5 linked regions of the Kluyveromyces lactis genome follow. The protein of the gene in region 3 interacts with the protein of the main gene of each other region in a pairwise test. Links are inferred from orthologs where the notes say so. Each region holds a gene or a part of one and is shown on either strand. Other genes may lie near its edges.

Evidence for each region.
Region 1: the proteins of PSY2 (region 3) and RRD1 interact in binary tests that used the Saccharomyces cerevisiae proteins (3 or more experiments, as listed by UniProt). The link is inferred for Kluyveromyces lactis from reciprocal best matches to the Saccharomyces cerevisiae genes PSY2 and RRD1.
Region 2: the proteins of PSY2 (region 3) and SPT5 interact in binary tests that used the Saccharomyces cerevisiae proteins (3 or more experiments, as listed by UniProt). The link is inferred for Kluyveromyces lactis from reciprocal best matches to the Saccharomyces cerevisiae genes PSY2 and SPT5.
Region 4: the proteins of PSY2 (region 3) and RAD53 interact in binary tests that used the Saccharomyces cerevisiae proteins (3 or more experiments, as listed by UniProt). The link is inferred for Kluyveromyces lactis from reciprocal best matches to the Saccharomyces cerevisiae genes PSY2 and RAD53.
Region 5: the proteins of PSY2 (region 3) and PSY4 interact in binary tests that used the Saccharomyces cerevisiae proteins (3 or more experiments, as listed by UniProt). The link is inferred for Kluyveromyces lactis from reciprocal best matches to the Saccharomyces cerevisiae genes PSY2 and PSY4.

The regions. Positions count from the first base shown.
Region 1 is NC_006037.1:36,114-41,770, forward strand, and holds RRD1 (peptidylprolyl isomerase RRD1), read left to right. Parts: upstream 1-2,652; coding exon 2,653-3,714; downstream 3,715-5,657. Other genes in the region: IMP21 (Imp21p), read right to left, coding at 1,021-2,088; phosphoenolpyruvate carboxykinase PCK1, read right to left, coding at 4,217-5,657. UniProt on the Saccharomyces cerevisiae protein: PPIases accelerate the folding of proteins. It catalyzes the cis-trans isomerization of proline imidic peptide bonds in oligopeptides.
Region 2 is NC_006038.1:66,966-74,142, reverse strand, and holds SPT5 (transcription elongation factor SPT5), read left to right. Parts: upstream 1-2,790; coding exon 2,791-5,901; downstream 5,902-7,177. Other genes in the region: CYM1 (pitrilysin family metalloprotease), read left to right, coding at 1-482; ERV25 (Erv25p), read left to right, coding at 977-1,615; RAD33 (Rad33p), read right to left, coding at 1,943-2,473; MRPL39 (mitochondrial 54S ribosomal protein bL33m), read right to left, coding at 6,205-6,420. UniProt on the Saccharomyces cerevisiae protein: The SPT4-SPT5 complex mediates both activation and inhibition of transcription elongation, and plays a role in pre-mRNA processing.
Region 3 is NC_006040.1:1,587,464-1,594,346, forward strand, and holds PSY2 (Psy2p), read left to right. Parts: upstream 1-2,620; coding exon 2,621-4,870; downstream 4,871-6,883. Other genes in the region: RAV2 (Rav2p), read right to left, coding at 1-493; ubiquinone biosynthesis protein COQ4, read left to right, coding at 871-1,869; SPS19 (2,4-dienoyl-CoA reductase (NADPH)), read right to left, coding at 5,165-6,037.
Region 4 is NC_006042.1:1,024,197-1,031,109, forward strand, and holds RAD53 (serine/threonine/tyrosine protein kinase RAD53), read right to left. Parts: upstream 4,375-6,913; coding exon 1,933-4,374; downstream 1-1,932. Other genes in the region: PAC11 (dynein intermediate chain), read right to left, coding at 1-470; DNA replication protein SLD5, read left to right, coding at 782-1,660; DGA1 (diacylglycerol O-acyltransferase), read left to right, coding at 5,963-6,913. UniProt on the Saccharomyces cerevisiae protein: Controls S-phase checkpoint as well as G1 and G2 DNA damage checkpoints. Phosphorylates proteins on serine, threonine, and tyrosine. Prevents entry into anaphase and mitotic exit after DNA damage via regulation of the Polo kinase CDC5.
Region 5 is NC_006041.1:509,111-515,159, reverse strand, and holds PSY4 (Psy4p), read left to right. Parts: upstream 1-2,615; coding exon 2,616-3,824; downstream 3,825-6,049. Other genes in the region: EDE1 (Ede1p), read right to left, coding at 1-79; KLLA0_E05765g (uncharacterized protein), read left to right, coding at 362-808; RSM7 (mitochondrial 37S ribosomal protein uS7m), read right to left, coding at 881-1,675; ubiquinol--cytochrome-c reductase subunit COR1, read right to left, coding at 4,665-6,002. UniProt on the Saccharomyces cerevisiae protein: Regulatory subunit of the histone H2A phosphatase complex, which dephosphorylates H2AS128ph (gamma-H2A) that has been displaced from sites of DNA lesions in the double-stranded DNA break repair process.

The sequences.
Region 1 (5,657 bases), on a different chromosome or scaffold from region 3:
AGAATCTACCGTAACTGATGGTAACCTCCGATGGCTAGAGTTACTTCCCCGATGGTATGGAGAGATGCTCTGCTTGGATTATCTCCGGTGCTGCTATTCCTGTATCGGAACAACTCTGGAACAATTTTGGACAGTTCGGAGGGGCGGTACTGGGGCATTTCTCATTTATTGCTTATAGCATAAAGACAAGAAAATGCATTCAAGGTGCAATGATTTACCTCAGCGTGTTTGTTTAAGTTTCACCAAGCAATGCATACAGTTGTATAGTTTGCGATTGGTAGGCTATATTTTTACTATGTACCGCGTAATAGGCAAGTCGTAGGGGAATACTTGAATGTTTCGATTCTGTATAATGGTTTTTTATATCCTTGTGGTATAAGGCAAAAATAGGAAAAATAGCCACGATAGGAAGAGATGTGTGTGTACGTCCAGGTGTTCATGAAAGAAAGTTGCCAGCTTGATTTATTGCAAGCTCGTCAATTTTAGTGGATCGAATGTTTTTAGCGATTGAACCCCATGCAAACAAACAGTAGGAAAATCTCTCAGTACGCTGAAGTGAATGAGGGGTACCAAACTTTAAATTCTTGATGAAAGGAAAGACTACGGTATATGACATTACCCGGCCAATAACTCACTCTTGCGCGCTAATCCGAGCTTGCTGCATGTCATCCGATATCTCCCGAGATACACACTTGGTGAAAATTGGACAAGTAAATGTCTCGTCTCCATCTCCATGCCTTTTTTTTTAAATTAGTGTTTTCACAATCTTCGGATCCTGCTATTGGCTTTCCCCACAAATTTTGGTTATGTTGCTGCTCCTTCTCTTCAGTCAATAGATGAACGAATTTCGTCCTAATTACCCTGTATGTTTGCCTTAATTTTTTCGTTCAGCAGCAGTAGCATTTGTTATTTCGTTTCATATTGACAATGGCGTTTTTACTGATCACGTGTATTAAGTTTTAGTTTACGTTTATATATGTGTGTATAGTAACGGCTATATGCTTGTTGAAGTAGTGCATATCAGTCAGCTATCCCTCTACGCTTTGATCTCTTCAATTTCTTCCGAATCACAAGCATCGGTACTGAAGTTATGAAATTTTGTAATGATGCCAACACCGTTTGCAACGGAATAATAATCGACGATGGCTGCAAGGAATGTGCCATCTCAGTGAGTAATTGTTTCGGATATGGATGGTACATTGAACATATTAGGACGTCAATTTTGTCCAAGGTTCCAACTCCATTGGTGCATTCGAATAAATAATCTATGTGATCGCAAATTCGATTCATTTGAAATAGCATATCGTTGGTATCGTCGTCACATTGGTTTATGATGTACAAAGTGTCCCCATTAGTGAAAACAGAACCGAAAGAGTAAACTAAGGCGTATATTTTCTCAGCAAAAGATTCATCCATTTGATCCAAGTAAACAACGAACGAGTGGCCTTTCTCGCTCGTTGCGGCGGTAATATTGTCTCCTTTGCTCATATGATAGACAGCTCTATGTATTCCGTGTTGAATTTCTTCCAATTTGATATCTCTTTTGTCTGCTTCTGTTTTAATCTCAGCATTCTTCGCTAGCCATGGCTTCATAGAGTCGAGTACTTGGGTAATTGGTGTAACAAAGTTCGGTAAAACTTTACAACCTAAATCATAATCAATGTGTTCATCAATTTCTATTTCATTCTCTACATCACTCACTTGTTCCTCCTCACTGACCTCACCATCGTCTTCTCTATCTTCTATGAATTCCTCTTCATCTTCATCTTCATCCTCGTCACCACCATTTTCTTGTCCTGGAGATACGCTATCTCTAGTGTTTCCTTTTTTGGCCTTCAAATGTAACCTTTCTGAAGGGTCCTTATTCAATATTGTCCACTTCAGGTAGGCTTGGTCCTTTATACTTACTCGACTCGCAGACCTTGATATCGATCTGCTTGATGATATGCCGGTATCTCTTGTCTTACTCCGGGACCTACCTCTTTGCTCTGGTTCCTCTATCTTTATAGTTGGAAACGCTGGAGGCGCAGCCAGATGCTTATCATCAGTTAGTTTCTTATTCAAAATACCTCTTCCAGGTTCTTCCATGTCTAAATATGTTCAATGGCTCACTTGTAGTATACTTTGTCTGCGACCGGAGATTGAAGCTAAGTTGATAGTTATTTCAATGATGTTGGATTAAATATTCGTCCTGTGAATTCAGTAGAATAGTATTAGCTGTGATACAAAAAGTTAAAATTATTTCACAGGTACAAGCTAGTGTCGCGGATAAAGAAAGTAAATGTGTGACTGGTGACTTGTATTAGGAATCTTTTCTCTGGTGTGAAAACATAGCAGTATAATCGTTTTTCAAGGTTATTTTGGCTTTTTATTTTTATCATATGTTTTCATATCACTTCACAATTTCAGTGCCTGTACTGCGAACGCTTAAAAAAAGTTAGAATTCTACAGACTGAAATGCTAAGAAAGGATATGAAATAGCAGTTTCTCTTGTAACTTTTGGGGAGGCGATCTTGAAAACTAATACCTTCCTTGTAGGACGTATCAAATATTGCATTCTAATTATTCTCCCGCACATATTTCAAGCTGCAAATATTAAATCGAGAGTTGTTATGATATAACGGTGATAAATAAGGGATAAGAAACTAAGAGATGGACTTTGATTATGAGAACGCCAAGTTCTCAATGCCAGAGAAAAGAATATTCGATAGTCAGGGTACCCTTGACTTCCAGAATTCAGTCGCAATGGTTAGAATACAATATCACTTGCAGAAGTATATTACGCTTTGTAAGGGCCAGCAGATACCAGATACAATCAAAGAAAGTTTTTTCACTAATATCGTAGTGGAACTACTCAAAAGGCTGTCTGCCTTGATAGACGAGACACCTCCTGAGAGAATGCATAGTAGATATGGAAACCTTTCATACAGAGATTGGCAAACGAAGTTTCAAAACCAATTGGAGAATTGGTTGCATGAGTTATTGCCCGAAAAGTACAACAACAGCATCATAGAACTTTCATATTACATATCTAATGCATTTGGATCGAAGGAAAGAATTGACTATGGAACTGGTCATGAATTGTCCTTTTTAGCTGTGATAATTTGTTTGGATATGCTAAAAATTGAAACAATAAAGGGGCCGGCGCTACTTTATTGTTTCAATTCATATTACGACGTGATTCAGAAACTAATCTTAACCTATAAATTGGAACCTGCTGGGTCTCATGGCGTTTGGGGGCTAGATGATCATTTTCATTTCTCATACATTTTAGGAGCCACTCAATTGTTAGATGTGAATACTTCTTTAATACCAAAGGATATTTCTAATACTAGATTGATGGAACAAAACAGCTCTAGCAATCTATTTTGCAAATCAATACGATTCATTAATGTCGTAAAATCGGGCCCATTTTCCAATCATTCTCCTCTACTCTACAACATATCAAGGAGTGTTCATACATGGCACAAGATGCAACAGGGTTTGATTAAAATGTACAAGGTAGAAGTTTTAAATAAGTTTCCAGTCGTGCAGCACTTTTGGTTCGGAACCGCATTTTTCCCATGGACGAGTTATGGTAACAATCACTCTTTGCCAATATATCAGCCTGCAGAAAATAACGACGATGCTGATTTTTTGACTGCAAACAATGCTACTACGAAAATGCCTCCACCTTTGAGTACAAGCACATCTAGGTTTATACACAGACGTTAACACAGCATATATGGGATGAGATTAAAGATCTATTTAACCTGCTTTTATTCTTCGCTTAAGGATGATATTAATGATTTAATTCCTCCCATAAATAAATAGTATATCCAGATTAAAAGATACTAAAGCGTATGTATGTACTATAACCATATTGATAAAGGCTGTTAGTGATAAATTAAAAAGGACGAAAGTAATAGAAAAACGAATGAGAAAAACCCCAAGATATCTGTAGAATTTTCTTGTTATATATGTAGTCGAGAAAAAGATAGTTTCTAAATGCAAGAATCAAATAATCCGAGCCAATGGTATGTGTATTATTGTTAGTTGGTTTTTTATGAATCTCAGAATTTTATATTAATAATAATGAACCGGCTACGGTTGAGATAGTCTGGTTGAAGGTAACGGAAAAAGTGAAACTATGTTGAAGAGAAAATATTACTCAATAATATTTCACTCTGCCTCTTTTCGTTATTTTGGTATAGCACTTCTGTTGAGGACATTGTGATTATAATTGCGGACCAGCAGCTAAGACTTGTTCGGTAGCCTTATCTTGGTAGGTCTTGAAGTTTTCTACAAACAAATTAGCCAATGACTTGACATTTGAAGTGTACTTAGCTTCACCTTCAGCCCAGTTCTTACTTGGATTTAGTAGAGAAGCTGGAACCTTGTCACCCACAGCCTTTGGAATTTGCAAGTTGAAGATTGGCAAAACTTCATACTCTTCCTTAGCCAAAGAGCCATCGTGGATGGCATCTAGGATAGCTCTGGTGTACTTCAAAGGACAACGCTTACCACCAGCAACGTAAGAGGAACCAGTCCAACCAGTGTTGATTAACCAAGCGTTAGCGTTATGTTCGGCCATCTTTTCAGCCAACATTGTAGCATATTTCATTGGATGTAGAGACAAGAATGGTTGACCGAAACAAGAGGAGAAAGTTGCTTCTGGTTCAGTGACACCTTGTTCAGTACCAGCCATCTTGGAAGTGTAACCAGAGATGAAGTGGTACATAACTTGGTCAGGGGTCAACTTGGATACTGGAGGCAAAACACCTGAAGCGTCACAAGTCAACAGGACAATGTTCTTTGGATGGTGATCAGCTAGACATGGGATTTTAGCACTTGGGATGTATTCGATTGGGTAAGCGCATCTAGTGTTTTCTGTGATTGTAGAATCTTCGTAATCAACTTCTCTAGTGTTAGGATCGTAAATGATGTTTTCCAAAACAGAACCGAACTTGATAGCGTTGAAAATTTCTGGTTCCTTCTCGGCAGACAATCCCAAACACTTAGCGTAACAGCCACCTTCAATGTTGAAAACACCATGATCGGACCAACAGTGTTCATCGTCACCGATCAACAGTCTATGAGGATCAGCGGACAAGGTAGTCTTACCAGTACCACTCAAACCGAAGAACAAAGTAACGTCATTATCTTGAATACCTTGGTTGGCACTAGAATGTAAGGTGAGGACATTGTGATTTACAGGCATCAAGTAGAACATCACAGTGAAAATACCCTTCTTCATTTCACCAGCGTATTCGGTACCCAAGATGACCATTTCCATTTGCTTGAAGTTAATTTCCACAGTAGTCTTAGAAGTCATACCGGAGGTATGTGTGTTAGCAGGGAATTGACCAGCATTCCAGACGGTGAAGTCAGGTTCACCGAAATTTTCTAGTTCTTCCTTTGATGGTCTGATCAACATGTTCGTCATGAATAAGGCATGGTAAGCTCTAGCACAAACCACTCTGACCTTGATTCTGTAACGAGGATCCCAGCCAGCATAAGCATCAACAATGTAAATGTGATCCCTAGTTCTCAAGTAATCAGCAGCTCTTTCTCTGTTAATTTCCCAAGTTCTTTCGGAACATGGCTTATTTACTGGACCCCACCAAACGTTATCCTTTGAAGTTTCTTCTTCAACGATACGCTTATCACGTGGAGAT
Region 2 (7,177 bases), on a different chromosome or scaffold from region 3:
CCCATCCTGATGGCGCTAAGCTACAAATCCTTTCTAACATGTTGACACACAAATATTTGCACCGTGAAATTCGTGAAAAAGGTGGCGCATATGGTGGTGGTGCTACTTACAGCGCTTTGGATGGTACTTTCAGTTTCTATTCTTACAGGGATCCTCACGCTTTAAATTCTTTGTCCACATTCGATAGCGTTCCAGAATTCATATTGAACAAGTCTTCGTGGGGTGAACCAGACTTGAATGAAGCGAAATTGAGTGTCTTCCAACAAGTAGACTCCCCAATGAGCGCCAAAAACGAAGGTACCATTTTATTCCATTACGACGTAACAGACGAAATGAAACAACGTCGTAGAGAGCAACTTTTAGACGTCAACTTGAATGATATACATCAAGTGGCAGAGGAATACCTCAAGCAAGATAAATCCATTGCCTCCATAGTTGGTCCGGAAATCCCAAATTTTGATGCCTTAGTTCAAACCGTGTAACGGGAAGCTCTTTCTTGTACATAATACAACCACATTATATATATATATATGTATTTATAACTCACAATACCCAATTACTAATTGTGCGTCGCAGTGCCTAGACGTACTTGCACACGGCAGAGTTATATCCCTTGTTCCTTGATAAAACTTAACATCTGCCAATATCGATCACGTGTAATCATCATAAAAAACGCGTCTTTTACGTATGGTTGGTTCTATATTTGTTTGGTTTCCAAAGATCAAAACTTCGAATTTTAACACCTTTATTGCATGGTTGATTTTCACGACAGTTCAGATCGCGAAGAATATAATAAAATATATAGGTTTCGGTTTGAAATTTAAAAAAAAAAAAAACGTATATCTAATTCTAACTGAATTCAAAAAGATACGTTGCTACGTTTGTTTCCTAATTGATTCTATCAGGAACCTCATCCGTGTTAACACTTGTCAAGGAGTGAAGCAAAGAGACAAACCATATATATACAGGCCAAAAGATGAAGAGCTTTGCTGCTTGCGTGCTTCTACTATGTGCTTTGTTCTTTGAACAAGTATTTGCTGTACGTTTCGACATTCCAGCCTCTACGAAACCGGAACAAGTCTGTATTCGTGATTTTGTCAGTGAGGGTCAATTAGTGCTCATTGATATTGAGACTGATGGTTCTGTTGGTGATGGTCAACAGTTGAATCTATACGTTCGTGACAGTAACGGTAACGAATACCGTAGGAATAGAGACATTGCTGGAGAAGTACGTGTTGTATTTACTGCTCCACAATCCACCTCATTTGATGTTTGTTTCGAGAATGTGGCGCAAGTTAACGGTAGATCTTTGAGCCGTTCCATTGAATTGGATATTGAATCCGGATCCGAGGCTCGTGATTGGAACAAGATTCAAGCCAGTGAAAAATTGAAACCGGTGGAAGTTGAACTACGTAGGATTGAAGAATTGACTGACGAAATTGTTGATGAATTCAACTACTTGAAGGGGAGAGAAGAAAGACTAAGAGACACCAACGAGTCCACCAACAGAAGAGTTAGAAACTTTTCTATCGCTGTCATCGTTGTTTTGGTCGCTTTGGGTGCATGGCAAGTAAACTACATGAAGAACTTCTTTAGAGCTAAGCACATTATTTAGAATGTTCGAATAGTTTCAATGCCTTGAATCTCAATACGATCTTCAAATATTGAATTGAAGAAACATACATCATATGGTGAGCCTTTTATACGTGTACAGTATCTATATATGGAAAATGGCATAATTTCTAAATCGGACGAGTAGAGGGGGAAAGGGATTATATTATGCCTAGACGGGTAGGTCTTTGTTTTTGCTAGAATTCTATGTTGATATGGCCACCAGTTACATTTATAAGTTTTGTACTAAGTTACTAGTGATATTCTTCCAAATGTTCCAAAGATTGACGTGTTTTTTAGGAAGTGAATTATTTAGTGGATTGCAATGATGCTAGTATCTTAATAAACCCATTTTACCAAGTAATTTGGCAAAGTCTAGGTAAGTGACAAATACCCTCTCGCCGTTCGTAGCCCAACTTACCATTGACAGGATAATATGTTGATCCATATCCACTTGAACAGCAGCCTTCTGGACATCTTTAACACTTATCACGTGCTTCCTTAGTGCAACCTTAGGGAACTGTTGCAATCTACCGGTATATTTTAATAGTAGTTCCCATTGTTTATCTATTATACTCTCGTTGTCCATGAAGATCAAGAGTCGATAAGTGACATCCAAGAGTTTTTCGAAATCTATGACGTCAATTCCATCCAAGCATAAGTCCTTGAATTCTAATAATCCGTACCATGATTTACTGATTTGTAATTCCGTATAAAAACTAGAAATATCAGCCCACTTGAATTCACCTTCTTCGGTGAAGCTTAAATATATCGATAGGACTTCATCTTCAATCTCGGTGGGCATTCTGGCCTCATTCCATCTGGTAATTGTGTCATAACTGACATCATTCTTTTTCCGCATAACTACATTATCTGGTCAGCAATGACTCATCGGTTAATATTGTCCTTAACGTAGCCAGAGCTGATGTTATATATTAAAGACTACATAAGGTACTAGCTGCCCGTTCGTTATGAAGTGATGCAGACTGATTCATCGGCTACTTAAGTACTTTTGAAATACTTAGGCGAGAGTTACCCTCTATTTGTGATCCTTGAAAAATTTCAATCTAAACTTCCCAATTTTCAATACAAAAATGGTAGTCCACGCTAAGTTGTAATGATGATCAGTATGCATTACAGTTCGCATTCACGATACAAAGCAACAGTCAGTAAGACGTCATGAGCGGTACTGCTGAGGAATCCGATAAAGCAGAGGCTGTTTCTGTACCTGAAACAGTTTCTGGGTCAGTTGAGAGTCAAGATAAGGAGCATAACTCTACTTCATCTTCGTCTGATTCTACAGATGTGGTTGGAGGCAAGAAAAGAACTATCGATGAAGTTGATGGGAGTTCTGAAAACAACTCTGCATCTGTCGATCAGTTAAAGGACGCTCCTACTGATTCTAAACCAAAGACAGAGGCTACTGAAGATAGTCCAATTAGGGGAAATCAAGGGAACAATCAAGAAAACAGTCAAGAAAACAAAGACGATGAAGATGATGAAGATGACAATGACGACGATGACAATGACGATGACGATGACGAAGATGAAGATGTCGAATCATATAGGAAGAAGCAACGTCGTGAAAGAAACAGATTCTTGGATATTGAAGCCGAAGTCAGTGAAGACGAAGACGACGAAGAAGATGAAGAAGATTCAGAACTAGTTCGTGAAGGTTTCATTACTCGCGGTGACGAAGAAGACGAAGAGGATCGTGGTGGTAGAGTTGATGACAGACTGCATAGAGAATTAGATCAAAATCTTCAAAAAACTGCGGATGAAGACATGCACAAGATCGCTGAAGACTTCAAGAAACGTTATGGTCGTGACTCTTCCAAAGATTACCGTGTACAAACTCAAGGTGGGTATGTACCTCAGAGGTTTATGTTACCAAGTGTTGATACTGCTATTATTTGGTCCGTTCGTTGTAGACCAGGGAAGGAGAAAGAACTAGTGAGAAAGTTGCTAAATAAGAAGTTTAACTTGGATAAATCTATGGGCTCTAAAAAATTAAAGATTCTGTCCATCTTCCAAAGAGACAATTACACAGGAAGAATCTATATCGAAGCTCCAAAACAATCTGTTATCGAAAAATTTGTCAACGGTGTTCCAGATGTCTATTCTAATCAAAAGCTTTTGATTCCCGTGCAAGAACTACCTTTACTATTAAAGCCTACCAAGTCAGATGAAGTGAGACTTGATGTTGGTTCTTATGTTAGAATTAAAAGGGGTATTTATAAGAATGATTTGGCAGTCATTGATCAAATTAGTCAGAACAACTTAGAAGCTCTATTAAAGATTGTACCCAGATTAGACTACGGTAAAAATGACGAAATCGACCCAGATACAAATCAGAGAAAGGCAAAGAGAGCAACGTTTGCTAGTAGGCCTCCTCCTCAATTATTTAACCCTACTATGGCATTAAGGTTAGACCAAGCCAACTTATTCAAAAGAGATGACAGGCACTTCACTTACAGGAAGGAAGATTATGTTGACGGTTATCTTTTCAAATCTTTTAAGATTCAGTATCTTGATACAAAGAATATCCAACCTACGGTGGAAGAATTATCAAGGTTCGGCAGTAAAGAAGGTGATGTCGATCTAGCAGCTATTGCTCAAACTATGAAAAAAGCTCAAGCTTCTAAAGCTATGTTTCAACCAGGTGACCGTGTTGAAGTGTTGACCGGGGAACAACGTGGATCTAGAGGTGTGGTGACTAGAAGTTCTAAAGACGTCATCAGCGTTAAACTATCGGGCTTTTCAGATAAATCATTAGAGTTCCCAATTGCATCTCTAAGAAAAATTTTCGAACTTGGTGACCATGTCACAGTAATAGCTGGTGAACATGAAGGTAACGCTGGTTTGGTTCTTTTGGTGCAGAACGGTCAAGTCACATTTGTTTCTGACCAAACTAGAGAAAATTTGACAATCTCTGCGAATAACTTGAGTAAATCTATGGATTCTACTCCGACATCAAGCGAGTACGCTCTACATGACATTGTTGAGTTAAGTGCCAAAAACGTGGCATGTGTGATCCAGGCTGGACATGATATTTTCAAGATTATTGACGACTCCGGTAAAGTGGCTACTGTTACTAAAGGCTCAATTCTTGCCAAGATCAATGTAGCAAGAGCGAAAGTAGCTGCTGTCGATGGTAATGGTAGAGAAATAAAAATTGGCGATGTAGTAAGAGAAAAGATCGGTTCCCGTAGAGAGGGACAAGTACTCTACGTTCAAAACCAACATATTTTCATTAGATCGAAAACAATAACGGAAAATGCCGGTGTTTTCGTTGTTAATCCAATGAATGTCGAGGCTGTCGCCTCAAAAGAAAACTTGATGTCGTCAGCATTGGATTTATCTAAAATAAATCCAAATATTGCGTCTAAGATGGGACCACCACAAACTACTCAGCAGACGCGGTTAGTTGGCCGTGACGTCGCTTTGAACAAAACTGTTAGGATACGTTCTGCGGGATACAAGGGGCAGTTGGGTATTGTCAAAGACGTCAATGGAGATAAGGCTACTATTGAATTGCACTCCAAAAATAAGCATATTACAATAGACAAAAGAAAACTTACTTACTTCAGTCATGAAGGTGGTGAAGGTATAACATACGATGAACTTGTTAGTAGACGTGGTAGAACTCCACATACCAGATTGGGCCCAAGCTATGTCAGTGCACCAAGACACATGGCTGCCGGTGGTGCGGTGGCAACGAACACTCCGCAACAACTTCCTGGTGGAATGACTCCTGGTTGGAATGCATTTGATGGCGGTAAAACTCCTGCGGTTGGCCAGAACGGAGGAACTTCATCCTGGGGTGGTGCTTCGACATGGGGCGGACAAGGCCCTGGTGGTGCTTCTGCCTGGGGTGGAGCTGCTGGAAACACTTCCACCTGGGGTGGGCAAGGTGCTACATCAACTTGGGGTGGTGCGTCCACTTGGGGTAATAAATCTAGTTATGGAGGCGCCTCTTCTTGGGCAGCAAGCGGAGAATCAGGAGCAGCTTCTGCCTGGGGCGGTGGCAATAAATCAAGCTATGGAGGTACTTCTACCTGGGGTGGTAACCAGGGAGGTGTCTCTGCCTGGGGTGGCAGTGGTAATAAATCACAACGATCTAAAAACACCGGTGGAAGTTCCACTTGGGGTAACAATCAATCGCAGCATAACTCAGGAGAGAGATCCGCATGGGGCAATGCATCCCAACACAACAATAGCGGCAATAGATCTGCTTGGGGTAATCAGGATGCTAGAGGTGGTGGAAGTACGTGGGGTGGAAATAATTAGAAATAATCATACAAGTTATTGCCTCACGATAATTTACAAACCTATCAATTGTTCATCTTATTATCTCCAAATTACTCCACGCGATGTGGATGTTGTATATATAGTCTTGCCCAAATTAGTCTCAGAAACCAATTAAATAAGTGAATTAAGTAAATGTAATTTAGTTAAAAATTTCGTTTCTTTACTACAAACCGATACTACTATAGAACTCTTAAATCACGTCTATTTCAACGGTAGTTATTGCAGTGTGAGTGTTTTCTATATACATGCAAATGGTGTGGTTAAATTGTTAAATACAATTCATTAACGTCTTGCGGTACGTAAGAAGTCCAATGGTTTCCTCTCTGCAACCTTTCTTTTCTTGGCCTCTTTGAACAAAACATGACGTTTAGCTACAGGGTCGTACCTCACCTGCGTCACTAATGGTGCAGCTCTATTTATCGTGACATGACGGCTCACACCTGTCATAGCAGTTGATATCAGTTTGATAACTGTAGTCTTTGTCTTAGCCTTGGCCATCGTTTTCCTGTTCGTTTGCAGTTTATATATGATATCCTTAGCTCTGTGAAATTCCTTGAATTTGAATTTGAGACAGAGAAGTACGCAGGATAATATTACTTTCTGCCCTTAATACTTTCCGATGATACACCGTCCTATGCAGAAATTGATGAACTCCCACTACTTTCAGTATTGATTGGGTCGGATACATTGCTAAAGAAGAAGTAATGGATAATCAAAATTTTGTCAAATCACTACATACGTTTTGATGAATATGCAATATACATAAAAATGATCCGTACTTCATATCACGTGAAACAGATACATATTCACAAGTCAAGTTAAGTATTCGCATATAGTTACTCTACGCTTTTATCAACAAGAAGGTATTAACTGAATTGATTGGTGTACACAGTACGGTATAATTAAGGTAACTAATTAGTGCTGGAGCTTACGGATCTCTGTTACACCCGTGCAACACGATATACATTACTGATGAAAATTTTGAAAATTTTCCAAAGCTCATCGCATAGAGACAGAGGCAAAATCAGCGAAAGAGAAGAGAAAAAAATGGAAATTCAAATGAGTTCTAAGTTACCTGCTAAAATAAACGTAATGGTAAGGTGACCCTAGAAGGTGCATAGGGTTTCATCCAGCTGTTTGATAGAAGAAAGGAGTATACTGCGCCAAGTGTATCCGATTTACGTGTTTCAATAAAGAACTGAAACAAAAATTTGAGACTATCATCTGTGCGAAGTTTTTTTCTTCAAAGAGAATT
Region 3 (6,883 bases):
TCCCAATTTTATTGTGAAAAGTATGAATATCATCAAGTTTCATATCGTGTAATTCGGAAAGTTGCTGTAATTCGTCAAATAAGGACAATACGGATGATAAATTTGTAATTATGGCATTTATTTGAACTAAGGGAAATTGTTTATCAAGGTCCATCTTTAGAACTATTGGTTTACCCCTGCTAAAGTCTGGAAGCTTAATGATAGCCTGAAAATCCACTATAAATCCGGCCTGTCTAGTGATTGTCCCTTTAATCGATGTGCTGTCTGGCGCGGCACCTGATGTGTTAACGGAGACACTATTCCCATTGGTAAGAGGCATTCGAAATTTCTCAGGACTAGATAGTTGGTTTATGCATTTCTCAACATGGTCCATAACGTTAGGTAGCTCAGGCTTTATGATTTCTTTAATCAACCATGTCTGTTGTAACAAAGAGCTCTCCTCATATGTAGGAGCATTTTTATATGCCCCATCATTATATAATTCCGTAGTCATCTCGGATTTATGCAATTGAGAATTAATGTAGCAAAGCTCCCTTAGCGTGTAGATAGCAAGAGCCTTGCTAAGATGGGCGTTTTCCTTTGTCAACCTTTTTACTATTCTTTTGCCTTTTTCGTATGATGATTCTTCTGAATATTTCAAATTTAAACCTTTTCTTGAAGTTGATGCGACTCACCCACATATACTTTAACTAGAGATAAAGGAAGATCATTGAAAATTGTAAAGTGGTTGTAATTGAAATTGCTGGCGTGGATTAGGATCAAGGTTTACACAGATTCTAGATTTGACTCAATTGACGAGTTGTACTCCGGGACACAGCTTTTTATTATTAGGGAAAGTGTGCTATTAAACGCATCAGACGACGACCGCAAATGTTTACTGTAAGTAAGAAATCCTTACAAGCAAGTCGTAACGCTTTCAGTCCATTGAATAATAGCAAGAGAACAATCGTATTTACTGCAATAGCAGCTTTTGGAGACCTATTGATTGGGAAAGATGTTAGACTAGCAGATGCTATGGAGAAAGGGAATCTGCATAATAAAAATGGAGAGTATGAGCATAAGATGGAACAAAGGACTCAAGAAAGGTTAAATGCATTACGAAACACAAGACCGATAGAACCTAATTATGAGGGTCATGTTCCACTTTGGTGGTATGAGCGAATGATGCTCTTCGGTATCAGTGGTTTAAAATCTTATTTCCACCCGGAGAACGGTGAGAACATCGTTCAATTAGGAGAAGCTACTGCTCTACCTTGCTTTCTTGAAAGTTTAAAACGGACAATGTTGTTAGATAAGACTGGTAGAAGGATTCTACAAGACAGACCAAACATCACATCGGAAAGCCTTGACATGGAACGATTGTCAAAGATGGATAAAAATTCAGTTGGCTATACGTACTACAAATGGTTGATGAAAGAGGGGGTCTCTCCAGACACAAGGGCACCAGTTACTTATATCGATGATCCTGTCCATGCTTTCATATTTAAGAGATATAGACAATGCCATGACTTTTATCATGCAATAAATGACCTACCAATCATAATCGAAGGTGAGATTGCAGTTAAAGCATTTGAGGCATCAAACATTGGTGTCCCAATGGCTGCACTTGGTGCTCTATTAGCACCATTGAGATTAAAGAAAGTGCAAAAGGAAAGACTTTACTCCATCTACCTCCCATGGGCAGTCAAAGCAGGGCTGAATTGCAAACCTCTCATCAATGTCTATTGGGAAGAAATCTTGGATAAGGACATAGACGAACTAAGAAGAGAATTAAACGTCACACCACCTCCAGATTTGAGAAAAATTAGAAAGGAAAGAGCGAAACAAAGAAAACAGTTCAAGCTTAAGTATGAGACCTACGAGAAATGAATTTTAAACCCTCAATCCCCAAATCGTGATGGCTGGCGTAAAGTTGCTTTGTAAAGTATAATGCAGGGTCATTCTGTGGATATAGGAACCAGGAAAAAAGAAATAGAAATACGTACGTAATGAAATAAACGTCTTCAATTGAAGAGGAAAAAGATCGCCTTTGCTTGATCGATTAAAAAATATATCTATAGCTAACATCCTTGCTACGTACAGTACCACTGCCTACACTTTTATTTGCTAACGCGGTATGTTAAACAATTATGATCGAACTTCAGTACGATGTCCTCTTTCCCTCGGTGTGCTTTGCAGCCTTAAAACTGTTCTTTTTTCTTATCACTGCGTTTAGCGGCCAAGAAGAAGAAAAAAAAGAACAAAGTTAAAAACTATCCAATTTAAGACTTCTGACCAGGGCATCTCATCTCACCCCATAATAAAAGAGAAGCAGTGTCTTGTGAGGGTTTTAAGCGGAAGGGGAGGATAATCTGATATTGAACATACAAGAATCTGTTACTTCAAAGCTCTTATAGCGCTTGTGTTTAATCCTCTTTGTCCTTTTTTTTTAACTGGAAGAAGTCACTGACGCTTTCGACGAAGTGTAAACATTCAAGTTTTCTTTCGGACTCACTCGGTTGTTAACGCATTGCAACTTTTGCTTACAAGACTTTGAACCTATTTTGTCAGGTCACAATTAGCAGAAAGAGCTTACGAGATCTTGCCATTTATTAGGGCTTCGATCAGCATAATATAAGATATGTCTGAATCTAACAATATGCATGTTTCTGGGGATGGTGCCAAACAGTCGGTATACACTGAGAAGAAACGCGTGAAAGTCTATGTGTTGGAAAATAACGAGTGGAAGGATACTGGGACAGGGTTTTGTCAGGGGACAGTGGAAGAGCGTACTATAGATGACACTCAGACTGCAGAGAAAATGGCGTATCTTTTGGTGGTCGATGAAGACTCCGATGACCAGGTCTTACTTAAGTCCAGGCTCGAACAAAACATCGAATACCAGCGTCAAGAGGAAACTCTTATTGTCTGGAAGGATCTGAATGGTCAGGATATAGCTTTATCCTTTGAAGAAAGCATTGGATGCGATTCTTTATGTGAATATATTTGCTTTGTACAGAAAAACATTGAAAGCCGCATCTCTTTGGTAGCTGTAAGATCGACAGATGATGGAATCGGGTCTGTTCATGAGATAATAACAGGACCGGTCAATCTTCCCTCAAATGTACCAAACCAGACAGAAGAATCCCTTTTAGAAGCATTGAAAATTCTAAACGAAAACACGTCATTTGATTATCTGCGAAATGAGACAATTCAATTTGTTATCAACGATCACTATTTAGCAACACTAATCAGATCATTCTATCAGTCAGAAGAATCTAAACTATATCGAAATTTATTATTATTGAGCAACATTGTGAAAACTCTAATATTGTTCAACAGCAAGGAGATTTTGGAAGAGATGATCAATGATGAAAACTTTTTATGCGTTTGCGGTATATTGGAATATGATACTGAATTTCCAAACTCAAAACTTAACCATAGACAATATTTGAAAGATAAGGAGCCAAATTTCAAGGAAATGATTCCCATCTCAGATCCAACGATCAAATTAATGATTACGCAAAATTTTAGGCTTCAATTTTTGAAAGATGTGGTTCTAGTTAGATTTTTGGATGATCAATCTTTCACCTTCATATCTGACCTAATGTTGTCATACCAGAATTCCATAATAGATTTCCTACAGGAGGATAGCAACAATTTTATTAATCAAGTCATCTCGATGTATAAAGTTGAGGAGGATTCAACCGTCACCCCAGATAAAAGAAGGGACGGTATAAAACTATTACATGAATGCATCCAACTTTCCCAAAACCTAAATTCAATAGAAAAAACCCTTTTCTACAAATTTTTAATCAAGAAAGGGTTGTTCCAAGTCATCCAATTTGCATTCAACATGGAAACTAATAACGATATTCGAATCCTTGCAACGGATATAGTTGTGGGGCTCATTGAACACGATATCCAACTAATCCAAAGTGTGCAAAGTGACGAAGTCACCTTATTGAATGACGAGAATTCAGATATTGATTCTACAGATATGTCTCTTTTACTTATATTGACCAAGATCCTGCTCACTGATAAGAGTCCGGGATTGAAGGAACAGTCCTTCCAAGCACTTGTAAGTTTATTAGATCCTGAAGACTATATTGTAGATGACTATCAAAACCATGATGACAATATCGACACACGAATTGATAACATGCTTCAAATTCAGAATGGCAAAAATCATGATGGATTAGACGGTGAACGAAATCACGAGAAATTTCAGCTAGCTGAGTACTTGCAATGTTTCTATAGACAAGTTGCGCCCTCCCTTTTCCATTGCTTCATCGATGGATCTGTTAATCTCTATGAATGTGATCAACAGTTACTCATAAAACTTGTGAAACTTCTCAATCTCATGATTCAAGGTCATGAGGCATCAATATCTAGACGATTTATTCTCGAGAATGGAATTTTGATCAGGCTTATATCACTTGCTTCAAGCGATTATATCCTTCAATTAAGGCTTGCTGCAGTGCGTTGTTTCAAAAACATCGTATTTTTAAATGACGACTTCTATCTTCGATATCTTATTGGTAAGAATCTCTTCGATCCAATATTTGAAGTTTTTAAGGAAAATTTGAACGAAGATAATATGGCTAATTCTACAATTTTAGATTTCTTAAAGTCGTTAAACACTCAATTAAAAGTGGTTGAGCAGGAAGATATTCCGCTTTCCGGTAGTAAAAGTTCAAGGAATTTCATGCTGTTGAATAAGTACATCTGCGGTAGATATGGTGATATATTACTGAAGGCAGATTACGTTTCTTTCACAAGAGAAATGATGGCTATTTATCATGAGGAAACCCAAAAGCTTGCTAGTTTATCAACAACGGAAACTAGCTTTGATGAAAATGATAATACTACACTGGAAGTTGAAGTATGACATTCAGATATATCTGAAGATGTGATGCATTTAGATGCATATTAATAATAAGGTTAAAAAGAAGGAGGTTGTTGTTTTATATAGGGATAAGTATTAAAAAAACTAGGATAATATTCAATTCAAGGTCAGATCTTGCATTCTCTAATTGAAAAACAAGACTTTGAAGTTATAGATGGGAGAAAAAGAATAAGAGTTATATGATCTGTGTGTTACAGATTTACTATTTTGAATGATCCAATCACAATGTGCAATGGATTCTCCGTTAGTCAACTAATAGCCAGAAGGAGAAGGTTCTTATAGTTTTGAATCAAAAGCATAATTCAACTCTTTAGGATAAAACTCTCTCGTTATTTGTGTGCCTACATGCCAGGCACCACCGTCGACGACGTGAATAGTTCCGGTGATGTATGAAGCTGCAGGAGAAAAAAGGAACACTGTCGTGTTTGCAATATCAACTGTTGTGCCAAGCCTTTGCAATGGAATCATCTCTGACAGATCTGAGCTCGAATCATTTTTAGTGAGTCGTGCCAACCCTTCAGTGTTGGCGATAGCACCAGGAGCTACACAATTGAACCTTAATCCCAATGGTCCCATTTCTACAGCCAATGCATTTGATAAGGCATCAATACCGGCTTTGGCAGCACCTACATGTGACTGAAATGGAACGCCATAGTAATGTAAAGTGGAACTGACAAAGAGTACAGAACCTTTAGTCTTGACCAATTCTGGGAAACAAGCCTTGACCGTGTTAAAACTACCCAAAAGATCAATTGATACCACTGATTTGAAAGCATTCGAGGATAGATGTGTAAAGTCCGCCAAGAAGTTACCAGCAGCGCCAGCGATAACGTAATCTAACCTACCAAATTTTTGAATGGCCACTTTAACAGCCTCATGCAACTGATCCACATTTCGGACATCGACGCTTGAAATGGGCAAACAAGAGTGTGGATCATGGACCAATTGTCCAATCTCGTGGGCCGTTTTCCTCGTCTTTTCCGGGTTTCTACCAACGATTACAGCTTTACAACCTAAAAGCACCATTGCTTCTGTTTGTACCCTGCATATCGTTCCTGCCCCTCCGGTGACAAACACGACCTTGCCATGGAACGTATCCTTTTTCCACGGCCCATTCTCAACAAAAGTTTTATCTAAAGTGTTAGGCATTCTCTCTTATACTGTTTCTGCGTACCTCTATGCTCAATTCCTGTCACAATTCATCGAAGTGATGAAGTATATGTCCCTTAAATCTAGAAAATGTTGACCTAGCAGTATTTACCCACCAGTATATATATATACAATAAACACAGCGAAGATAATTTCAAACTAACACCCTAAGAAAAGGGCAATCCCCTAAGTTGCGAATATGTTTTAGCTTCCTAGTTGGAGATGGAGTCATTTGAATTCGATGATCATTACTTCTACTTACGGGCTTAACAAGTCTGACTATATAATTGCCATAGAGAAGTGGCATTATCAGGTTACAGCTGCTGAATAAAGAGCGGAGAAGGATGTATTTTCTGTCCGGGTAACAAATTATCCGGGTACTGATTGATCTAATTAGCTTATTAAAATGCTAGTAGTTGTTCAGTAACTCTTATACAATGCACTCCAGAAACAAAACGCAAGTTCCAACCATTATATCGCCCCTTTAACAACGTAATGATACCGGTACCGAGCTGTTTCGCAACTTTTCGAGACAGGATGTCAGGCTTCGTGTTTAATACTTTCATTTCCGAAGCCAGAAGAACATTTGTTACCCGGGCATGGGCGGCTTTTTCTCTATCTCTTTGCATGAAAATTCAAATCTAGACCTTCCGGTGAAAATCGAAATTTAGCATGTTGATTATTATCATGAGAATCAACGAATCGGTGAATGTTGTGGTTTCTGACGTACCCGTGTGTTTCTTCTGCTTCCTAGTGTGATTATTAGGGCTCAGCATCTGTGTTGTGAATCATTCGATATTTGTTACAGTATTGACACGCTTTAGAGGTTAAGTGTTGGTTCGTTAG
Region 4 (6,913 bases), on a different chromosome or scaffold from region 3:
TGTAGTGAAAATGTTTCTTTCTTCAACGTTGCGTAGTCTTCCGCTGAAACGACATTTCCGAAATCAAACACATCCTTTTCAACAACTTCTTTATCCTCCTTGGTCTCTGTAATATCTGAAGTCGATGCTTGCTGTTCTATAAGATCTTGGGAAGGTAGATGTCCATCTTCCATAATTTCATGTTTCCCGTCATATTCATCTGTCTGTATTCCGATATCATATGTTATCACAGCCTCCTTAACAGCGCTCAATTCAAACTCATTTACATCATCTGTTTGCACTGAGATCTCAACAGTTTTTACTTCTTTCTTGACTTCAGATTCGTTGTTATTTATGGAATTGGTGATATGGGAAATGAACGGAAGGGTACAATCTGCTATCTCTTCATGTTTCGAATCAATTTTTTTCCTTTGCAGCTGAAGAGCCTCTATTTTCTGCTTCATCAACTGTAAGCGCTCATTCTTGTCCATATTTCTGGGTATATTCCCCCTGAGGTTGGTGTTGCTGATGAGCGCTTCTTCACTGACGCGTTTTATCTTGCTTCATGTATGGATTTGTTAAGCGTAAACAAAAGATGATAAATAAGATTTGAGTATTATCAAAAATACGATGTTACAGTAAGTTGGATGAATTTCACAATAGGTTGGAGGATAACACATTGCAAGTAAGTCCTTCTTGTCTGAATACACCTTTACAGCAATTATAAAAGCCACCCCGGTGTACTATCCGAACACTTCCTCCGCTTTGAGTCCTGGTGGTAGGATCATATTTCTTTAGTACAATGAGCATTGATATTGACGACATTCTAGCTGAGCTGGATAGGGACACTACAGCTGTTGAACAAAATGCTTCTTCATACCCAGACCAAAGCGATCGAACTCAAGGCAATGATGTCTCTCAGATAAGACCAGCAGATAAGGCGGTTGACCCTGTGGCTCCCACACAGTTTAACAAAATTGACGACTATCAAAAGCTAATTACACATTGGAAGAATGAACGTATGAGTCCGGAGCTGCTTCCATATCCACATCATCTCATGACTAGGACATTAATAAGGATTCAAGAAAGAATTGAACTAATAGAAACACTATCAATGGGATACTTAGAAGATAATCAAGAGTTAACTGTCGATTCAAAGCTACCACTTTTATGCATGGAAGCAGAACTTGAGAGATTGAAGTTCCTAGTTCGATCTTTCATCAGATGCCGGTTAAGCAAAATTGACAAATACAGCATTTACCTAAGACAACAATCCGAACTACCCAATAATGCGGGCCTCAGCAGACTAGATTTATTGATGTCCAAAGAAGAGGTGAAGTACCATATGAAGCATTCTGACATATTACTAAAACTGTTTAACAACGCAGTACTTAAGCACTTACCAGAAGAACTGCAAGCCGTTAACGATACTGAGGGTTCCATCAGTATGATTGATGAACCCGATTGGAATAAAACTGTATTTATACTAGTTTGTGGTGGGGTAGTTGACGAAAGTGGTATTGATTCGAAATTAACGACCGATGATGATGGAAAACACTGTTACTCAGTGATTATTGAAGATTTAAATGAAGAAATTTACTTATTAATCGGGGCAGTATACGTAATACGTTATAGTGTAATACGAGATCTCATGACTGAGGGACGAGTAGTTTTAATATAATGAAAATTCTGAACAGTATTACTGAACCTATGACTCTTCGAAAAATATAGGTTTGTAACGAATGTTTGCCAGCAATAATTTCTCAACAATGTTATTGCGAACACAGCATGTTTTCTACCTAGTGTTATTGACTGCTGGTCTATAGTGCTTTTGAACCAATTTGTATTAGTATTACATCAATTAACGTTGAAAAGTCTATCTAGCATACTCAAAGTGTACCTATTTTTCATATTTACTGTATGCAAAACCCATCCGGCAAGCATATGATCAGCTCAGAGAAATCCTTCAATATCTGGTTTCTGGGCTTGGGCAAGCTTAGCCCTTTTGGTTGTCTGCGGTTGAGATTGAGATAACGACACTGAATGTATTCTTTTCAATCCTGTAGTCGAGTTCATCTCAACGACAGAATCTAATTCCTCGATATTTTGCGAGTTGGCATCTATGTTACTGGAAGAGGACTGGTTTATATTAGATTTGGCATGTTGTGATGATCTAGACTTCATAAATTCCATAAACTTAGGGACTAAAGCTAACTCCTCCTGTGTCTGTTTATGTAGAAGTGTCTTGTTTGTTTTCTCATTGGTATCCAGCTTCCCCTCGTGGAACAAACCAGTGGTATCATTGAACTCAAGCTGGAAAGAAACAGTGACATCATTGATTTTATCCCATATAATTTGGATTTCATCGCCATCATGAAGTAAGATCTTTGTGCCCGGAGTGATTTTCTTTCCATTAACATAGCTTGAGTTAGTACCACTTTGGCAATACCATACATCATCAAGACCTTGAGCTGGAGATTCATAAATACTGTCACCGACAGCGTGTCTTTTCTTCAATATGAAGCAATGTATCCTAGATAAACGATTATCATCAATTTTACAGTTGCATTCGTCTGACCTACCGATGAAGAATGGATTTATCCCTTGTTTTACTTGGACCTTACCTGAAATAGATGAGCCAGGTAAGGAATGCAAAGTGAGAAATAGCCCCTCCCCATTGACCTTTGTAAGTGGTCTATTGATCTTTTTGTTCTTATTGTTTGAAAGTCCTTCTTCACCAGATTTATAATTAACATTAATAGCTTTACCAGTATTAGGATTTGAAAAGTTAAACTGCAAGTTTTGGGATTGTGCAATTTTAGATGGTGCAATTTGTGGTTTTTTGAATACAGGCTCTTTATTAGTTTCTGCAGCAGGCGCCGTTATTTCTTTCTTGATAATCTCTAACCTCTTTTTCGCAATGTATGATTCGTATTCAGCCTCATTCATACTGTCAACAAATTGTTGCTGGGACAAGGATTGTGAGATGGATATTTGTGACTGCATGCTATCAACGTATGCCATTTTCATCCATGGATGTTGCAGGGCCTTTCCTGCGTTCATTCTTTCTTTAGGGTCCACATTCAACAGGCAATCTATGAAGTTTCTTGCCTCTTCGGATATTCTATAATCCTTTAATGGTCCTTCATGATAAGAGCCCCGTTTTATTTGCTTGAACAATTCATTCTGAGACTGACCACTAAAAGGCAAGTGACCTGTAAGAATAACGTAAACTAGGCATCCAATTGACCACATATCAACAAGTGAGGAATACAGATCTCGATTAGTTTTATCTTCAGCATTTTTCCCGTCTATAACTTCAGGTGCAACATATGCTAGAGTACCACAAAAAGTGTTCAGGAATGTATTCTGATTTTGTACTTTTGCCAGGCCAAAATCGGTTATCTTTATAAGAACTGGATCGTCTTGCTCTATCATTATATTATCAGGTTTCAAGTCTCGATGGCTAATTCCTTGATCATGCATGTATTTTACTGCCTCTAAAACCTGTCGTGTTATCTCTCTGCCGGCATCCTCGCCTACAGTTCCATGGGCTGCTACGAAATCCATTAAATCGCCTCCGCTGACAAACTCCATCAACATGTAATAATTATCATTGTCTTCAAAAAAGTCCTTAAGTTTAACTATCCTGGGGTGATTTAATTTCTGCAATACATCTAGTTCCCTCTTCACTCCATCAAATTTATCCATTACTTTTCTCTTATGAATTATTTTGACCGCAAATGTTTTGCCTGTTGACCTTTCGACAGCTTTCTTCACAGTAGCGAAAGCACCTTGACCAACAATCGAATCTGATATCGAATAGTATTTGTGTATTCCTTTTAATTCTGTATGTCCCATTGATATCTGATATTTGCTCTTTGAAGATGAAGCAGGTGAAGTCACATCCTTCATCATATTGAGTTCTTTTAGTCTATTTTTGAAACTATCGTTGATGAAAATCACTAAACTAACGACATCGCTGGGAACGCCGACTCCAACACTTATTTCATCCCCTTGGGTCAAGATGTGATTCGTATCCTTTTGTATCCTCGCTCCATTTAACCATGTTCCATTGGTTGATGTATCCTTCAGCATTAAAGTTCCTTCTTCACCCAGCATTAGCATAAAGTGTCTGTTGGACAGTCTTGAAATATCCCCCAGATAATAATCACATCCTTGGTTTCTTCCAAAGGTCCATGTTTTTTTAATTGATGATTCCTTTTTGAATATACTTTCAGGTTGAACCTTCAAGTCCCGTAGACTTATTTGACCAGTTGTACATATTACTCTGCACACCACATCGTCGTCTATTTTCTCCTGAGAAAACTTATCTATTAGGTACTTCTGTGTAGCCTGAGTGGCTTGTTGTGTCGGTTGCGTTATATCATCCATGTCAATATCTTCGTTTGCACAGCAATGATCAGTTGATCTCTAAAGAGGCTGGGAAAGGTAACGGCAAACCTCAAAGGGACAACTTAATGCCTCAATATAGAACGATTTTCACAAGTGTGCTATTCTATAGTCGGTTGTGACTGTGTATACCCACTAAACTGCCAACACAAAGCTAATGAATAATGGAATAAATCGTTCTTTCATAATGTGTATGATCGCTTTTGCAATTCAAAGATCCAGATTATTTCAGAAAAATGTCAACCTTTAAATCGCGTAAATATTCGATGAACATTAAATATTACAATGACGCGTAAAAGTACATACATATATACAAAGCCAATGATCAAAGATGGATCAGTCTTTACTCGGCACTGCTACAACGTTGGAGTGGGAATTTGAGTAAATAGAACGGAATCATTGATAGAAGTTCTATTATGGCACATTGCGGCATCAGGTGATTGGTGCCGAATCTTCTTCAGAACTATGTGAAGCCGGTTTATACTGCAACAATCCATATGGCATCAATTAGTAAATACCATGGTTGAATAACTTGTATCAGCTGTTTCTTATTCTAACTCCAGTCATGCTACAAAGACTTTAAAATCTTTACTTATCAATAGATGGAAGTAAAGATTATAAATCGATATGGTTGCTATCAAGCATAACACTCCGAATTTTCAGAAATTCTTTGCATTTTGCTCATATAACGTTATTGTATTTGAACTGTTAGAGCCTTTTCTTGAAAAAACTAGGTTCTATTCATGTTTAAAACATTCGTTAAGACAATTCCCCATAACCGATTGAAGAAATGATATATATAAGTTTTCGTTTTATTAATACTGCAATAATGTCCTTCAACGAGATAGCTATGTAGTAAAATTATATATCAGCTTTGATCTACTGGTGAAGGTTCAAATCATACCGTCAACTTTAACCGTAATGTTACGGTAAATAACAAAATCGTAAATTATTAATCTCACATACCTCCATAACGTTATGTTAAGTTTCTTACCATTCTATCTGCTAATTAAATGACCTGTTCCCAGAATCAGGACTGGATAAAAAGTCTACTACATCCGTTAGTTTTTCCCAAGGAAACCCTTTAAATACAAGAGCCGGGCTCAGTAGTCTTTCGCGTCAGATTTTGAAGTCTATTTATATTTACTACTAGTTCATAAATTGGACATTGTATAGGAAAGATGCATTCCTCTACATAATATTTTTGTTAAATTAACTACCCATCATTACTTCCCTAAAACCATGTAAACTGATAGGTATGGTGCATACCAGTACAATTGGCAACAGCTTGCAACGTTAAGATTCAGTGATCTCAATTAAATTACGATTTTGACAGTTTTATTTTAAGGGAAAAAGTTGCTTTAAAACAGGAAAACGACATCAGGCAATGTTTTGCCTCAGTAAACAAAGATACAATTAATCGACAAAAGCTGGGCAGGTTCATTTTTTGTTGAACTTGAACGTCTAATATCATTTACTTCTGAGAATAGACGTAAATATCAGCTTATCTGTTTTACTTTGAGAAGGTTCGCTGCTAGGTAATTAAAGTTACTTCGAGGCTTGGAACAAGATGGGTAAGGAACAAATCAGAAAGAGACAAACTAAAAAGGTACGCAAGGGTTCACAACCCGTGGCAAATGGTAAATCTTCTGTAGTAGGGGTCTCCAAAGATGGGAAACCAGAATTTTGTGCTATTGATACGCCCATAGAAAGGAGACTTCAAACTCTCAGCGTAGCATGGTATGTCGAATGTATTCCGTTAATGATCATCATAATGTTGTTTGTTTGGGTTAACCCGTTGATGTGGTCGTTTGTAATACCATACACCATTTATTATTTCATAGACCGGACTGCCTCCAATGGGAACGCTGTGAAGAGACACTCCAAGTGGTTCCGATCTCTAAAGGTCTGGTTTTATTTCCGTGATTACTTCCCTATAAGTATGCACAAAAGCACTGAACTCGAGCCAACATTTACAAGTATTGATTCCACAGAGCTGGAAAATGATGCGAGTGAGCCAGGCTACCTGGATAGCTCACAGCCCGTTTTACCAGATAAATGGTGGAATCCTTTCAGAGAAAAGGATGAAACTGTTAGACCAACAGGACCGAGGTATATTTTTGGCTACCATCCACATGGTATAGCAGCATTCGGAGCGTTTGGAGCATTCGCTACCGAGGCATGTAATTGGAGTAAAGTTTTCCCAGGCATTCCAGTGTGTTTGCTTACTTTGGTAAATCAATTTCAAATACCAGTGTACCGTGATTATTTATTGGCCTTAGGCATAACATCGGTCGCTAGAAAAAATGCTATGAAAGTACTTGAGAAAAATTATTCAATAGCCATCGTAATTGGAGGTGCCAGTGAATCCCTTCTTACTAACCTTGGTTCATCTGATATCATTTTAAGCAAGCGGAAAGGTTTTGTGAAGTTGGCTTTGCAAACTGGGAATGTGAGTCTTGTACCTGTGTATGGATTTGGTGAAACTGATACTTACAAGATTCTGAAGCTTAAAAATGAC
Region 5 (6,049 bases), on a different chromosome or scaffold from region 3:
TATCTAACCGAGAAAAGTGCTGGGAAAATGCTTGCTTTTCCTCACTAGTGAGGGGTACACGGAACGCAATACCTGACATGGTTCCCAGAGGCGTGGTGGATGTGTATCTGTTGCAGTTTATCGGCTATATTTCACGAAAGGGGTTTCGACCATTTGATCCAATTTGTCGTTATTCAATTATCTCAAAAAGATGATGAAACTATATAATCGTGCAAGATGACTTTCGGATCGCATAAAGAAGTGAAGCATTGATGTAGGATTAAGGTTTCCAATGCGATGAGAGAGTTGAGTTTATCACTTCATTTAGAAATTGTGTAGAGTGTATGCAACTCTTATTGAGAGTTTTTATGAAAATTGATAAATGATAAGATATAAATACGCAGTAACATTTTTCTCGAGTGTATGTTTTGTTGTCTTCCTCGGATTAACTACTGATGCCAGGTTAAAGCTAATAACATCAACTCATGATAAGCTCGCCCATTGCATAGTATTTTGCATTGAAACCGTTCTGTTTACCATGATGTTTGAATGTGATACCGTACAGTTGCCGGCATTCATCCCCAAAAGACTACGATCAAGGAATTTGGCTGCGTACGAACCTTTTTCCATGAACAAATATCTATTGGCATTTATTGTATGCTGCGTATGTGCCAGTACGAGCAGTGAATTTGCACAACAGTTCCTCTCACGAGGAAAAAGGTCCTTTGATGTAAACGATATTTTGGCCAATTTTTCGGGAAGTCTGCTGGGCCTAGGAATTGCATATAAGATAGAGCAACAAATTCAGCATAACTATGAAAATCGATAACGTTCATTTATATTTCACGTATACATATGTACAGGTTTATTCAAGTAAATACAGTGGAGGTTGGAACTTTGATCATTTTAGGTTAATGTAAGCTCTGTGTGCAATAGCAGTCTTATGAATAGAGTCTCTCTTTTCGAAACCTGAACTATTACCGTTGAAGACAGATACCAATTCTTCACCAAGTCTTACTGAGAAATCGCTCGATGATCTCTTCACAGAACTTTCCACAATCCATTTCCAAGCTAATCTAAACCTTTGTCTTTGATTCAATGGAACTGGAACCACAGTGGCCTTTGCGACACCAGTCTTGAAGGTCTTGATAACCATAAGAGGCGCCAACACATCCAAGGATTCTTTCAAAACTTTTACCGGGTCTTTCCTTGTTTGACAGAACACAATATATAACGCTCTTGAAAGAATCTTCTCAGCTCTTTCTCTTTTCCCGTGTCTCATAATCATATTCGTTACATGCTGTAAAACTGGATCCTGTTTTTTTGGAATGGGAACTTGCTTCAACGTTTCCCATTCATTTATTTGCTCTTGACTTGGCTCAAAGCTGGGCTTGTTCAATTCCATAGCCTTCTCCAAGATATTAATTCTAGATTGGTTACCTGGTGCAAGGGACGTAGCTGGGTTATAATCTTGTTGCGAAAACTCTTCTTCTAACGATCCAATAACTTTCAACCATTCATCAACCTGTTCGTCGCTAAGGCTAGCTAATTTCTCCCCTGTAGACGCATTATTATTCACAGATTGACTTTGGAATCTGGTTTGCATGGTCGGTATACTGGCAGCATGTACAAGTGGACTTCTTGCCAAAACGTTAGCATGGACGTGACTCAGACTAAACCTTCCTGCTCTCAACATACTGTACAATTTCCGTTGAATAGATGCCAGTGTACACAAGGACCACACAAGGACACACACAATACAACCAGAACCTATTCAATCTAAGAGTAACTCTCATTAGATCCAAATTCAAGCTTACTTCACCAGAATATGATGATATTGAATTTGGTTTGAAAATCGTAAATTTTTTTGATCAAAGGTTCAGAGATGAGCCAGTGTGAACAGTGTTACCCGCATAAATACACGTGACTACTAATGATCTGTTTCTATGTGCCGTTGGTAGTTTTGCCTGTCAGTGCATTGAGCACAAGCTTGCCAAGAATAATTAATGATATTATATAGACTGTACCTTATTAGACACCTTAGCCTTTAATATTATAGTAAAGATGTCGTTGATCTATTTTGTATTCAGGTATGTAACTATAGTATCTTTAGAACTTCCGTACTTAAGTGTTAAAATTCCTGCCGTTCTTAAGTGAAATCCTTTAAATAATATCACATTTCGTTACGTGAAAAGTTGGTGAAATTTGTTATATGCGCACAATATTATGTGAAATGATAAATAAAAGAAATTTGTTCAAATAACATGTAGGTTTCTAAGCTACAAAGATAGAACGGTCAATCAACAGACTAGAGAACGAACTTTATAAGGCTGCTGGCTGAGCTGGGATTGGCTAACCGTGTACTGTCTATTGGGACTAGGTGTTACAAGTCCGTTGTTTCATATTATTTTCCGAGACTATCCTTTTTATCTATTCTATATCTGCCAGTTTGGAATAAAAAAGGCATCGCTCATACTGGACTTATTTGTGCTAATTAGAATACCCCGAGAACACCGATCTTTCGTTAGTGCCATTTCAAGGAGATCTAACCAAGTGTAATATTACTATACCGTAGAATTTTTTTTTTTTTGCCAGCCTTTCCTACTATCAGCTCATTAATCAGATACATTGTCAATATGATGGGAATAAAATCCAGACATCTATACGACCGTTTGACTAAAATAGTTATCGATAAAGATCTAAGCGCGTTTAACGAAATATCGCCTTCGCAATTGATCCCACAGCTATCTGAACATTTCAGCATAACGATACCGAAGGAGATCTTCAATTATAACGAGGACCAAGAGGAAGACCTTTTACACAGATTGAAAGAGCTATCGAGGTACCTTGTTGTGAAATTTGCAAAAAGAGATAAGTATCCGTTCACGATTCAACGGATATGCGAATTATCTTACCATCCATTACAATATTTCCCTGTGCACAGTTTGCAAAAGTTTGTGTCGGCCATGGAGAAATGTTGCTTGGTGAATACTGATTGGACACCCAGGCTGGGCAAAGAGTGTCCAAACACAAACCCAATGGAAGATGTTTCTCTGATACCTATTGAGTGGATCCGCACGAATAAAGAAGATGAGAAGTCTTTGCAGGCGTTTATTTCGAAGATTGAAACTATAGTGGCTGTAAATTTTGGTTATGATGACTTCGACGACGACAATGAAGATGGTACAGATCATGACATCGGTCGTGGATATGATAACCATGGCGATGTGCTCATCGAGGAATACGAGGAAATGGATGAAGAATTCGAAGATGAGGACTATGAGGATCACGAAGATGAAGAAGAAGATGAAGAAGACGAAGACAACGACAGTGACGTCGACGAAATGGAAGCAGAAGAGGTGGAAGAGGATGCAAGTGACGACATCTCTATAGGCGAGATAGCAGAAAATGATGACCAAGATAATGCACATACAGATGTTACGGACACTCAGCTTAAGTACAATGGCGTTCCTATCGAAGAAGAGCTTCGATTATCTTCAACAAGTAGCGTTTTATCCGTCAGTTCACACGCGGCCAATGAAGATGAAAATGAAAGCATTCTTTCGAGGAAAAGAAATGTCACCGAGTTGGATGATTATCAGTACAAAGAAACCAAGGAGAATGATGGCTTCATAACAACTCCAAAGAAAAGTAAAATGCCCTTGAACGAGTTTGGATCATCGTCATCTATGGTATCCCCCGTAGTATCTAATCAGGAGGATCCATCCAGAAACGATGATTCAAGGATAAATACATTCATTTCTCCAGATACAACGAATTCAGTAACTCAAGCGGAAAAAAATGAGTTATCTACTAGTCCGTTGCAAGACAAAAAAAGAATGTGATCATGCAGCGCATGATTACGCAGTTATCATCAAGAAGTTCCACGCTATTATGTTAGATACAGAATAAAAACACAAGGCCTTAATTTAAGAATTCAGTTAGTTTTTTCATACATATGAAATAAATATAAATAAAGAGTTTATTAATATTTCCCGTGATACAAGGAAAACATAAAGGTCACTCTTCTTAGTATCAAATGAATATATCAGTAGGTTATTTCAGACAGGATTAATTATAATAATTTGATGTTTTTTTTCAGGTTTCGATATAGAAAGTAGAGTGTTGAATTTTTTTTTTAGGATGACTTGAATACCGCAATTTCCAGATTACCTCAAGAGAAAGTCTTGATGGTTAAAATGTATTCAATTGCTCACCAGTAAATGACAGTATCATAAATAAGGACATTGAACTCATATTTTTGTTTCGACGAATAATGAGCGAGATTTTGATTTATTTCGATTTAGCCTAAATTTTCAAATATCATTTGGAATTAAAAAATACATTATGTTCATTAAATGTATTGATCTTGAGGAGCTGTGACAGAGCGAAAAATCGAATGCGCCAGTAAACACCCTAGACTTTAGTCCAAAACAGTAAAATATTGATATAAATCGATCGTGACAAATTTCTTTTTTTGGGGGAATATACACACATGAAATTAAACTGTAACTTATTACTCATCGAGTGATATGGTTATAACAACTCAAAAGTAAATGTTACAGGGAGTAATTCTACTCAGTCGAGTAGAAAAGAGAGAATTGTTTTTAGAATGACCGTCGTGAAATGAGAATATAATATAAAAAGAATTGTTAAAATATCTTAAGACTCGGCTTTTAGTTTGATTACCATCTCATCATACTCATGTCGTTTCTCATTCTGACGTAGTCCAACAAGTCTTCAATCTTACCAGTACCGGCAACAGCGATATCTTGATCCCATAATCTTTCGGAAGCCCAAGCCTTAATATCCTTGGAGGTAATTTTGTCAATCTTAGTGAAGACTTCAGCCAAGGCTGGCTTAGCACCCAAAACCAAGGTTTGAGCACCCAACAAGTTAGCAGCAGCAGCGTTGGTAGAAACTTGAGAAGCCAACTTCAACTTTAACAAAGACTTAGCACGAGCGACTTCAGTTTCGGTGACAGAGATGGACAATCTGTTCCATTGCTTCAAAGTGAAATGGACAGTTTCATCGATGTTGTGTGGGTCGGTGATGGTGGTTCTGAAACCCCACAAACCGGAGTCCTTATAAGAGACAGAGAAGTGTTCGAAAGAGTCACACAAGTGGTATTCGTTAACTTCGTCGATCAACTTAACACCTTGTAGGTTGGAAGCTGGTTCAGCAGCAACGAAAGTACCGAAGACTTCAGCAGCGACTTGAGCAACATAGTATTGTGGAGAATTGATAGGTTCACCTTCAGCAGCGATAGATACCCAAGCCTTTGGTAGAGTATCATCTCTTAGTCTGACTTCAGAACCCAAGAAAGTGGACTTCTTCTTTGGCACTGGTTTGTCACCAGATAGCAAAGAAAGCTTAGTTTCAACAGCCTTGACCAATTCATCGTGGTTAACGTTACCGGTACCAACAATAACAGAGTTGTTTGCCTTGAATTGGTTTTGAACGAAGTTGGACAAGTCGATGTTTTCCAAACCTTCTAGAGTTTCGACAGTACCTCTGACTGGCAAAGACAATGGAGTGTTTTGGAAAGCAGTGGCGTGCAAGTGTTCGAAAACACGTTGTTCGTGTTCAGTTTCTTCGAACTTGGCAACAGTGTCTACAGTAGCTCTCTTGGAACTTTCGAAGACGGAGTCCTCAATTGGAGCGAAAAGCTTGGATTGCAAGAATTCTAGAGCCTTAGCATATTGACCTGGTTGAGAGTTAACAATGTAAGATTGGTGGTCTCTGCCAACCTTGGTTTCTAAGGAGAATCCCAATTTTTGAGCATCCTTGATAGAAGAGTTGACAAAGGAGTTAGCCAACAAGTTGGAAACACCGTTGTTGTATGGGTTTTCGGCAGTAGTACCGGAACCGAACACCAAACCGACCGCAGCAGTGGCAGAGTTGCTGTTTGGTTCAGTAGCAACAACAACACCGTTAGATAGTTCGGTGACGATGGCTTTTGGGGTAATTTGAGTGGCAATGGTTCTCTTCAAGATTGAAGATCTAGTAGCGGTTCTCAACATCTTTCTTATGGCAAATAATTGGTTATAATCCGTTTAATCAATATAGT